Drosophila melanogaster: one gene and its partner. The protein of the gene in region 1 interacts with the protein of each later gene in a biochemical or structural test. Each region holds a gene or a part of one and is shown on either strand. Other genes may lie near its edges. The genes, in order: Pbp95 and Bdp1.

Region 1 (5,184 bases):
CCATTAAATATGAACATTCTATTCGTTTTTTTATTTATGTTATCTTAACTGCCTTATAGTCATGAATTGCAACGTTTATTGCACACTCAATGTTTTTCAATGCACCAATCCATAGCATAGTTCCTAGTTCTTGTTGTCAATTAAAATTACGCTTTAAATGTTGCACGTATGAAGTAAAAGTACGGGATGAAGCGACTTGTCCATCTCTGTGAATTGATGTTCCGTTTAGCAAGCCCTTAAACTTAGGATTATAATATTAATTGTTCCTTGTCCACACTTCACAGATATTCAGATGCTGACTCTGTTGGTCCCTGTGCTCATTGGCTTCCTAGCGGAACCCAGTCGACTCCGGACGCTGCCAAAGTATCAACGGCAGCTGCACGACCAGGCGCTGCAGTGGCTACTGAAGATCGGTCCGAAATATCCGCAGGAGTTTAAGGCCCTGATGGGTCAAACACCGGAACTGCGACAAAAACTAGAAGCGGCCATTCGCAGCCAACAGCAGTCGATTAACATTGCCCAAAAAGCAAGCGAGGCGCAGAGGAACCTGCTGGCCAAGCCGCAGAAGCCTACGATCAAGCTGAAGACGGATTTCAGTAACTTCCAATGAGCGCCTCCCCCGGGAATCGAACAAAATAGTTCTCAAGCTGCTAGTGCTATCATAAAAATGCTTTGTAATACATTGTTACCGCATGAACAATAGGATGGATCGGTTCTTTTTATATTGAAAATAAGGTTTAGACAATTTTGCTCTAATAACTAAATATCCGGGATAAAAGTTTTGAAAGGATTGTAAAACGGCAACTAAAATATACATTAGTTTTTTTGACTGCTTGTGTATTAAATTGTTTCGTTTTGCAGGGCGTTTTGCTATAAATATACCTTTTTTCAAACCTAAGCAATATTTTTAAACTACAATCAGAAAAATGAGCCACCCTAATGCACATCGGTCCGGCATTTGATTTTGCTGTATGTGAAATACGTTAAAAGTACCTACAAGTTTATAAATTATTTGTTAGCCATTGTAATGAACTATTATATAACGCGATATGAAGTAAAAAATATAAACTTTTAAAGCTTAAATTAATCAATATTACATATTTACTTATTAGTTCCTATGGAACTGTATATTCCATTTCCAATTCCTGCTTGACTGTATTAATCACTTCATTCTCGCTAAGCGGCTCGGATTTTAGATCATTCTGTGGTGCCGGCTCTGGATCGATTAATTCAACATGTGTACCCATTTTTGCATAATCGTGTTTGGGGCGTGGTAAAGAAACTAATGCTGATGGTAAGTCCGTAAAGAGTTGTGATTCCAAGCGGCTGAGAAGAGTGGTACGATAGAAAAGAGCTTGCAACCGCTTGCGGAAAAGCTGGATGGGTGGTAAAGATTCATTGTATTCGAAGCTACGTGTTTCCGTATCCTTGCGACAATCTCCGGAAAGAATGCATAAGGCTCGAAACCCCATCATAGTTGACCAGTTGGGTGGCAAAAGTGGGCTCTTCATATCACCTTCCTCGTCCGGAAGGTTTCGGATCATGCTGTTGTAGCACTTAAGCACATCATTTGGCATAAATATGTTTTGTAAGAGCGAGGGTCGAATTGGTGGCTTATATGCAAGAGCTCTGATCACGTAGGCAAGGTTATAAACGTCTTTTGGAACTGGAAAAGTTTTTGGAGTGCTCAGCGTCAGATTATAACTAAACTTAAAGAAGTTGCAGAACTCTATATCAACTTTCGAAAGTCTTGAGAAACTCTCTGCCTGTCGCTCGATCCTAGCCTTTTTCGATTTGGGACCGCGCACCCGAGTTCCTTTCGGGGGGTTATCATTAACTAATGACTCTGGGTCCTCTTGCCACTCTTGCAAACGCTGCGCCCAGTTATCAGAGTTAACCAAGGACACCTTCTTCGATCGGCGGCGTGGCAGGTCTTCCACTTTTGCATTGGGATTTTGTTCAAGGAATTTCTTGATGACTAGGAAGCGGGTTCGACAGCTGGTCCGCGTGTGATTGCCCAAGAACGTGGCACAGTTAAGCCACTGGGAAGCCCCGTATTGCGTTACGAAGCTCATCAGCCGTGTGTCGTCCTGAACGGACCAGGAGTCGGTCTTGTTGCGTTGTGCCAGTACATTGTGGTAGCGAGTTCGGAGTTGGGTTAACGACCGGTTTGGGAAAAGAGAACGCGGAAAACAGTGAAACTTTCCATTGTACTCTTCAACGGCGGCGAACAGCATCATGTCCTCCTTGGTAGTGAAGGGTTCTGCAGTTTCAAAGGAGCGAAATAATAAATTAAAAATTATTCAATATATTGGGTACCTACCGTGACTGATGCTAGGATGCAACACGTAGTAGTAACGACCAATCAGCGTTGATTTGGACTTGTCCGGGAAGTATTCCACGACTTTTTTCCAGTTTATTACACTGTTTGCCGTATTCCTATCAACGATCGCCCTTAGTTTATCGTTGTCCTCTTCGCTCCAGCGGTGGCTGTTCTTTGGCTCCAGCAGAAAACGTAGGGCGGTATGAAAGCGTACGAAGCACTGATAGTCGGAACGTCGGTCTAGCGACGCGGCTATCAACTCCCAGTTCTGCATCCTGTTCGCAGTGGCCACCGCCAGTAAAGTTTCGTCCTCCTCGGGTGACCAATCGTCTCGCCTGAGATCTGGTGTTAAGTAGACCCTCCACATTGCCTCACAGCTATATGGTGAGTGCCGATATTCCAAGTCCAGGGTGCTGATCTGGTTCCAGTCGATGCTGAAGCTACTATCCGCAGTTGCCAGCAGACTTACCAGTGTACTTAAGTGTCGCTCGATTGGCTTGCGCTTCAGGCTTCCGCTGGGCAGCGCATTCGTACTGTGGGCCCTATGCTCCAGTAACTGAGAATTGAGTTTTTTATAAAACAGAATATTAGTATTGCTATTTAACTTTTCATTGCTATTAAATGGGTATTTGGCAATCAATCTGAACCACTCGAAGGGTCCACTCACCTGTTGTTTTATACCCATTATCACATTCTTTTTGTCTAGCAATGTCCATACATGTCTGGAGTGCATGTCAAAGTCGGTGGGAAACATCTCCGTGTGGCACCGCGCCTCGTAATCCTCGTTGTTAGGACAGCTTCGACCATCGATGTCTCGGAAAAACAGGTTGCCCTTGAAGCGAAACGTGCCCTTCCGCAGGATCGCCCCGCTAAGATTGAGGGAATTCGGGCCGAAATGGGAACGAGGTCGCAGCCGGCGCACCAGGATGTCCTCGTTCCGAGAGAAGCGGGCCCTTACTACTTGTAACATGGCCAGAATTTTGGTCCGGACTTGCATGAGCCGGCGCTGGAGCTCCTGATTCAGCTGCAGTGCGTTGGCGGCGCTCGGCTTCGCTGTGTTCTGCAAGAGGGCCGAAATCTCGTCCATAAGCTGCTGCTGGTTTATGCGCAGATCATCGGCATCGTCCATTGCTCAGGTTGTTTTGTTTACATTGCCTTTGACTTTAGCGATGAACTATTCCCGGCATCAACTATCGATAAAATGGTTGCAATGGTCGAACTGCATTAAGCAAATTAATACCCTGCAAATAAAGTAACATTGAACATTACATAGGAAATTGCTGTATTATTGGACTAAGACCTATTAAAGAATAGATAGAGATAAAATAGATATCATAACTGCCATTTTTCGTCCTTATTTATTCCCAGAAACTTTGGTTTTATCTAGTGGAAAGAACATGATTTCAATAAACTCAGTTGTAAAAGCGCGGGATTATTTTAAACAAAAGTTTGGTCAAAAATAGTTTTTTAGAATAAAGATCTTAAAACTATCCGCCATGCACTAAATAATGATACCCTTGGTAACAAAAAATATTTAGTATGTCAAAATGTTTTGTAATTTTAATTTTTTTATGTTGTATAACGTGATCTGTAGAAACTATTAATGTATTCCGATTTTTGTTAAGCCTTTCATACGCCCTCAAATTGGCGAAAATTTGGGTAGATTTAATATCAGCTGTTGTCAAACTCGCAACCAAGCCTGAGTACACCTAATTAGGTGAGCATCTCAAGGAAAAACGATATTCAACACTAGTCGAAATTGGCGAATCAGCAGTGACCGATGACAATACCAATCGCCTATCGCTGCTGCTCGAGAAACAACAAAAGAGAACAGAGAAAAAAAAACGCGTAGTAGCAACTTAATTAACAAAATTCGTGGTGAATGCGCTAGCATAACATGGAAGATGTCCCGGTCAAGATAGTCGAGCGCTACAAACCACCGCCTGCCGTGTACCACCTGCCGCAGGCGACCCTCAATCGCCTGTCGCAATTCCGAGAAGGTTTCTACACGGATCATCCGGATTACCAGTATGACTGTCAGCTGGAGAGGGCCGTGCTGAGTCAGGCGCAACGATGGCGCCACCTGCGTCGCCAGCAGCGCGAGGAGCGAGCCAGTCGCCAGGAGCGTCGCAAGGAGGAACGCCAACGGGCGCTGGAGGCGAGACAGAAGGAGATGCTTGGAGCAGTTGATTATCCTAGTGCGGACGACTTGTCATCGGATGAGGACGAGAAGGAGCGAAAGAAGAACGAGCCCGAGCAGAGGGACGAGGAACAGCAACAGCAGCCACCACCTCCAATCACCGCTGAGTCACGCGACTCTTCCCACGAACCAAAGTCAATAAGTGTGTGTAATTTTCACAATATCTTGCAGCCCACCATTCTGAGCACCACTCCAGTGGTCAGTCCGCAGACGCTGCACAAGCGTAACAGCTCCCTAAACTACGCAGACTTTGAGTACAATATGAACTCCACACCTTTCGACAATATCGAGCTGAAGACCATCAACGATCTAGACATACTAGCTCAGGTTCTGCACCAGACACAGCTGGAGAAGCGCATAGATCAACAGCAGCAGGATCAGCAGCAGCAGGAGCCGCCGCATGAGGATCATTCCAAGGAGGAGCAATCTGGCAATGAAGTGCCAGCTCCGGTGGAGCTAGCAATGACTACGCTGGCGGAGACCAAAGCGACGCTCGACAGCGTCAATTTCCATGTTCACTGTGATGATAATGCGGACAGGGGCGAGCCAAGCCACATTCCAACCACGGCTCAATACCTAACGCCCATGTACAGCGCTTCCGCCCAGCAGCCGTTGCATAAACCGGAACACTTTCAGGTGGGACACTTTTAACTAGTTAAAG
Region 2 (4,765 bases), on another chromosome or scaffold:
GCTCATGGAAACCGCGAAAGGGCTTGATGACCATCAGGCTCCAATAGTCAGTGACGCGAACTTTTCCAGACAACGCCGGATAGGTGTTGTGCGTGGCTCCGCGGTTGCAAATGAATATCAGCTTCTTGTTGTCGTCTTTTATGTAGCGGCGACAATAGACGTAGTCGCGATTGGCGAACAGTCGTGGCCACTGCATCTCCCAGTATATCAGATGCGAGTTGCTGCCCGGGACGGGATCCTCGCTGATGAGCTCAAGTCTTAGGGCCGTGTCGTCCCACTGGCGACGGTAATCCAAATCCGTTTGAACGTGGAGGAAGTCGTCCGCTGTGATGTCGTCGAATCGAGCATAAACCTGCAAACGGAAAGGCGGCATAAAAGTGAGCCCTAAAAAACTTTTAGATGGCCTCTTACCTTGTATGAGTATAAGGAGGAGCGCTCCTGCCGCCGCCAAATGCTGAATTCGTTTTTGCTAAAGTACGGCTCCCATTTTTGGTCGTCCTGGGCCTGAATGCGTACCGTTCCGGCCGGTGCATTGCGCACGTCCAGATCCAACGGTCGCAGACAATTGCTGATGCTGGTGTCCGGATCCGTCTCCGCCTCTTTGCTGGTGGACGGCTGGGATTGGCCCTTTTTGCAGCGCTGGTTGCCCAGCTGACAGTAGCAGTATTTCATCTTCTTGGCCTGGCAGCGGTCGCACAGCTGATTGTTGGGCAGGGCGTTGATAAACTCAATATCCCGGCGGCACAGATCAAAGTTGGACAAGGCCAGGCGCTCCTTGTTCCAATCGAAGCCATCGCTACCCATTCGCTTGATATTCAGCCCGACGAGACCCACTGCACTCATCACCATTCCCCGCAGCGGAGGCTGCAGCTCCCGGCGGTAGTAGGCGCGCCATAGCTGCTTCAGACCCTGAGTTCCATACACCGACTGGTAGAAACTGAACAACTGCTGAACGCGACGCGAGCGCTGGGCGAAAATCGACTCGCATTGGTAGCTCCAGGCACGCAGCGTTTCTCGGGACTGGTTCTTGATGGCCAGTACAAATCGATTGAACAGCATGCCGGCTAATTCAATTTGTCCGTCGGCCGCCCGCTTGCATAACAACCTACTCAAAAGTGCGGCGACTTCTTAATGCTCCTTCGCTATTACTGTGCCCCCGCACACTTGGCACATTTGTCGCCAGAAAACTTTGGGAATTTAGTACTTCTAGCCAGGACACACCCGATAGGTTTGCCGGAAGCGTTACTGCACGAGAGCTTGGTTAGGATCTGGGCGGACTTATCATGTTTGCCCGATTAGAAAAAACGTGCAACTTGCAATTTGTCTGCTGCTTCTGTTGTTATTCCGCTGTTGTTGTTCCTGTTGTTGTGCCGTTACAGGCAGCAGTGTTGGAAAATCGCAAACCGCCTGCTGAGAGGTGACAGCTACGATCAGTGATCACACTTTTCTGCAACACTGAAACACAAATAATATTAAATTCAACCAAACTTTTACTGTGTACAAATTTTTGACGTGAATCTGGTGAAGTGTGCCATAATTTATACCAATTTATTTTTGACACTGCGAATAAATTTACTTGACATGCTTTCTAATAACGCAGTTATCTCGTTTTTTTTTTATTTGTTAAAAAATCTTTTGGGTACTGCAAGTTTTTTATAGCCATTTTGAAACTTTAAATAAATTGGTTGTCTACTTTCTTACATGGCCAGGACACTGTGAATGCTCTTTGGCGTTAGCCAACACTATACTTGGGAAACTCGTGGTTGCGGCCGCATTGTTTTTGTTGCGCAGATTTTGATTCGATTTGATGTGTGAAACTGCGGTTGAGCCTGGAAGAAGCCTAAGAGTACCCAGGCAGGATGTCCATGCGGCGCCAGCGCATCAAGGCTCCGGCCAACCTGTCGCTTATCAAACGCAAGCCACGCAGGGAGGAGCTCCCAACGGCGAAAAAGGAGGATGAGGAGGAGGAGGCGGTGGTGGTGGAAGCAGAGGCTGAGTCCCCGCCCGTTGCATCGACCCCTGCTGCGGAATTGGAACTAGAGGCTGATGCAATCGCCTTCAAGATGCCCGCAAGCTCGGCTGGGCAGCTGGAAGAGGTATTCCACTCGGACCTCGAGGACAATGTCATTCAGATGGACTTGCAGAAGACCACCAATGGCTTCCCTATGTCGCCCAGCAAGGCTCAAGCCCGTCAGCGTGTGCGACCCACTCCGGTATTTGGCCAGCGACGCAACAGCTTCGTGGGCTCACCCATGGCCAGTGATTATGAGGGCGACTATCAGTCGCCAGCCACGCCCACGCGGCGAGAGCGCTATCTTAGCGGTTCTTCATCGGGAACTCCTTTGCAGCAGCAGGTGCACTCGCCTATGCCTCCGTCCCCCTATAAATACCTACCGCCCGCTAGTCCGGGCATGGGACGCATTCGCACCGAATCCACCTGTTCCACCTATTCCGAAGGAGGTAGCAAGCAGAGGAAGGGCGACGATAGGTCGCAAAGTCAAATTGGACAGCGGTTAAATGCCCGGCGAGACTTTGAAACCCGTTTCAATAAGGGTGTACCCGACAAGTCCACGTTCAAGATGATGGACATGATCTTCTACAATCCGGAGAACAATCCCATGGTGCCCAAACAGTCGGTGACGACCATCAAGGATGAGTCTGGTGGCGATGATTCCAAGCCCGCAGTCAGTCAACTATTGGAACCCAAGGGAGAGTCCACATCCGCTATGTTAGTGCCTCAGCTAAAGCTTGATGCCAATGGCGAGATGATCATTGATGAGAAAACATTGGAGATCGAAACCACGGCCGAGGTGGAGGCCCGCAAGGTGCTAGCCAACTCATCGTTAATCCTAATGGACGAGACTACGGGTGCGCCGCAGAGTTAATACATAAAAGTTGAATACTTAACGAATTTTATACTTTGCAGGAGATAATGGATTCTATAAACGCCACAAGCGCACGCCATACTGGACCTCCGATGAGACCGTCCGCTTCTACCGCAGCCTGCAGATCATTGGGACGGACTTCTCGCTGATGTGCCAAATGTTTCCAACACGTTCACGTCGGGATCTAAAGCTGAAGTACAAAAAGGAAGAGCGAACCAATGGGCAGCTCATAAACAAAGCACTCCTCTATCCTAAGGCCTTCAACATTCAGGAGCTCAAGGATCAACTGGAAGAGGAGGACCGCGAAAGGGAAGAAAATGATCGCAAGTGGAGGGAAATCGCACGAGCTCTTCCGGGAAACCCTAAGAAGGTAAATAATTTGTAGCTGACTGTAATCACCATTACATTTTTTAATTATATTTAGCGTTCCCGAGTACAGCAGCAAAGCAAGGCCTCAAGGGCACTAAACGATGGTGATGTTGTCTACGAAAACGAGCACGTAACGAGTACAAAGCTCGGCAAGCACGCCTGGGCCAAAAGGCGAAAGGAGTTGGAGACCGATGAGAACGACGGAAGTGCGCCGGCCAAACGTAAGCCAAAGGCTAAGCGACGATCTCCCAAGGTTTCAGTTCCAGCGGCAACGGAAAGCCTGTCTGATGTGGCGGCCATTAAGCAGGAAAAAACGATCAAAACCGAACAAACGAGTAGTCATTTGCCAACGGGGGGAGAACTGCAGGCTGAGCTCAATGGCCTCCTCATGGATGATCCGGTGGAATATGACGTAGATGTAAACAAGCCACGTGATAAAACTATTATCAATATGGATGATGGTACCCTAAGCTATGTCAGCGACGTCGAACCCGCCCCAGAGACGCCCAATCGAAAGGCAGAGACATATTTAATAAACTTCATTGAAGACCAAGATCATGAACTTATAACGCCGGATGACCCCATTCCGCCGTCCACTACCGAACCGGATATCGAACAAATTCTCGCCGAGCTTGCGGAAGGATCTCTGGCTCTCGTCTCGTCCTTGGATCCAGAGCACGAGGATCGTGTGCTCAACGAAATCTACATGCTGGACAAAAAAACGGGCGAGTTGTGCGAAACGCCTCTGAAAATACCAGAGCATATTGTTCAATGCATAATGAATGTTATGCAGCCAGAGGACTAACGACATTTTATATTTATATCTTAAGAGTATTTGTTAACAGTTATAATTTATTAAAGCATTTCGCTAGATGTATTTACAAAATTACTTTCTTGTTCCTCGCAAATTCAAAGGGAATTGCAAAAAATGCAAAAATGGGACTGACTTTCTTGGTTTCTTTAACTATTCCTAAAAAAAATTGTAATTAATATACAATTATAACAGATTTGTCAAAATAGTCTTATTTTATAAATAAAATAGGGTAGCAAGAAGGCTTTTAAGCATTAAAAGTGTTTGGTTATAGGTATCTACTCTAGACAGGATCATTTCGATTTCTTGCAATAACAAAAGCTTGTATAAAATGCAAAGATAGCCATTGCTTTTGTATAGAAAATTTAAATCAAATATATAAATATTTTTTGAATTTCCATTCATTTCAGAGTTGCCGTTCTCTAAAATTATTTTTCGCTTCGCAACACATATTTTCAGGCGCAGGGCTTTAGAGCACTGGACTTTTGACAGCTGTTGTTGTTGTTGCCTCGGCTGCGGTAGCAAATTAATACAATTTAACCAATATAGTAAAAAACGATGGCCCAAGTTCCCTTGGCAATCGTCTCGCACAAGCGCCAGGTGTGCAGCCTGTACAAGCGAGCACTGCGCAACTTAGAGTCGTGGTACGACCGACGGTGAGTGCACTCGGCGCAGAATTCCCAAATATTATATAATGAGC

Evidence for each region.
Region 2: the proteins of Pbp95 (region 1) and Bdp1 form a complex in vitro, tested with the Drosophila melanogaster proteins (one study listed by BioGRID).

The regions. Positions count from the first base shown.
Region 1 is NT_033777.3:8,012,106-8,017,289, reverse strand, and holds Pbp95 (PSEA-binding protein 95kD), read right to left. Parts: upstream 3,500-5,184; 5' UTR 3,453-3,499; coding exon 2,991-3,452; intron 2,880-2,990; coding exon 2,324-2,879; intron 2,264-2,323; coding exon 1,116-2,263; 3' UTR 680-1,115; downstream 1-679. Other genes in the region: CG2747 (uncharacterized protein), read left to right, coding at 285-610; CG10435 (uncharacterized protein), read left to right, coding at 4,221-5,159.
Region 2 is NT_033779.5:13,370,798-13,375,562, reverse strand, and holds Bdp1 (B double prime 1), read left to right. Parts: upstream 1-1,738; 5' UTR 1,739-1,859; coding exon 1,860-2,868; intron 2,869-2,926; coding exon 2,927-3,255; intron 3,256-3,309; coding exon 3,310-4,059; 3' UTR 4,060-4,136; downstream 4,137-4,765. Other genes in the region: CG6565 (uncharacterized protein), read right to left, coding at 1-352, 412-1,059; ND-B22 (NADH dehydrogenase (ubiquinone) B22 subunit), read left to right, coding at 4,624-4,721.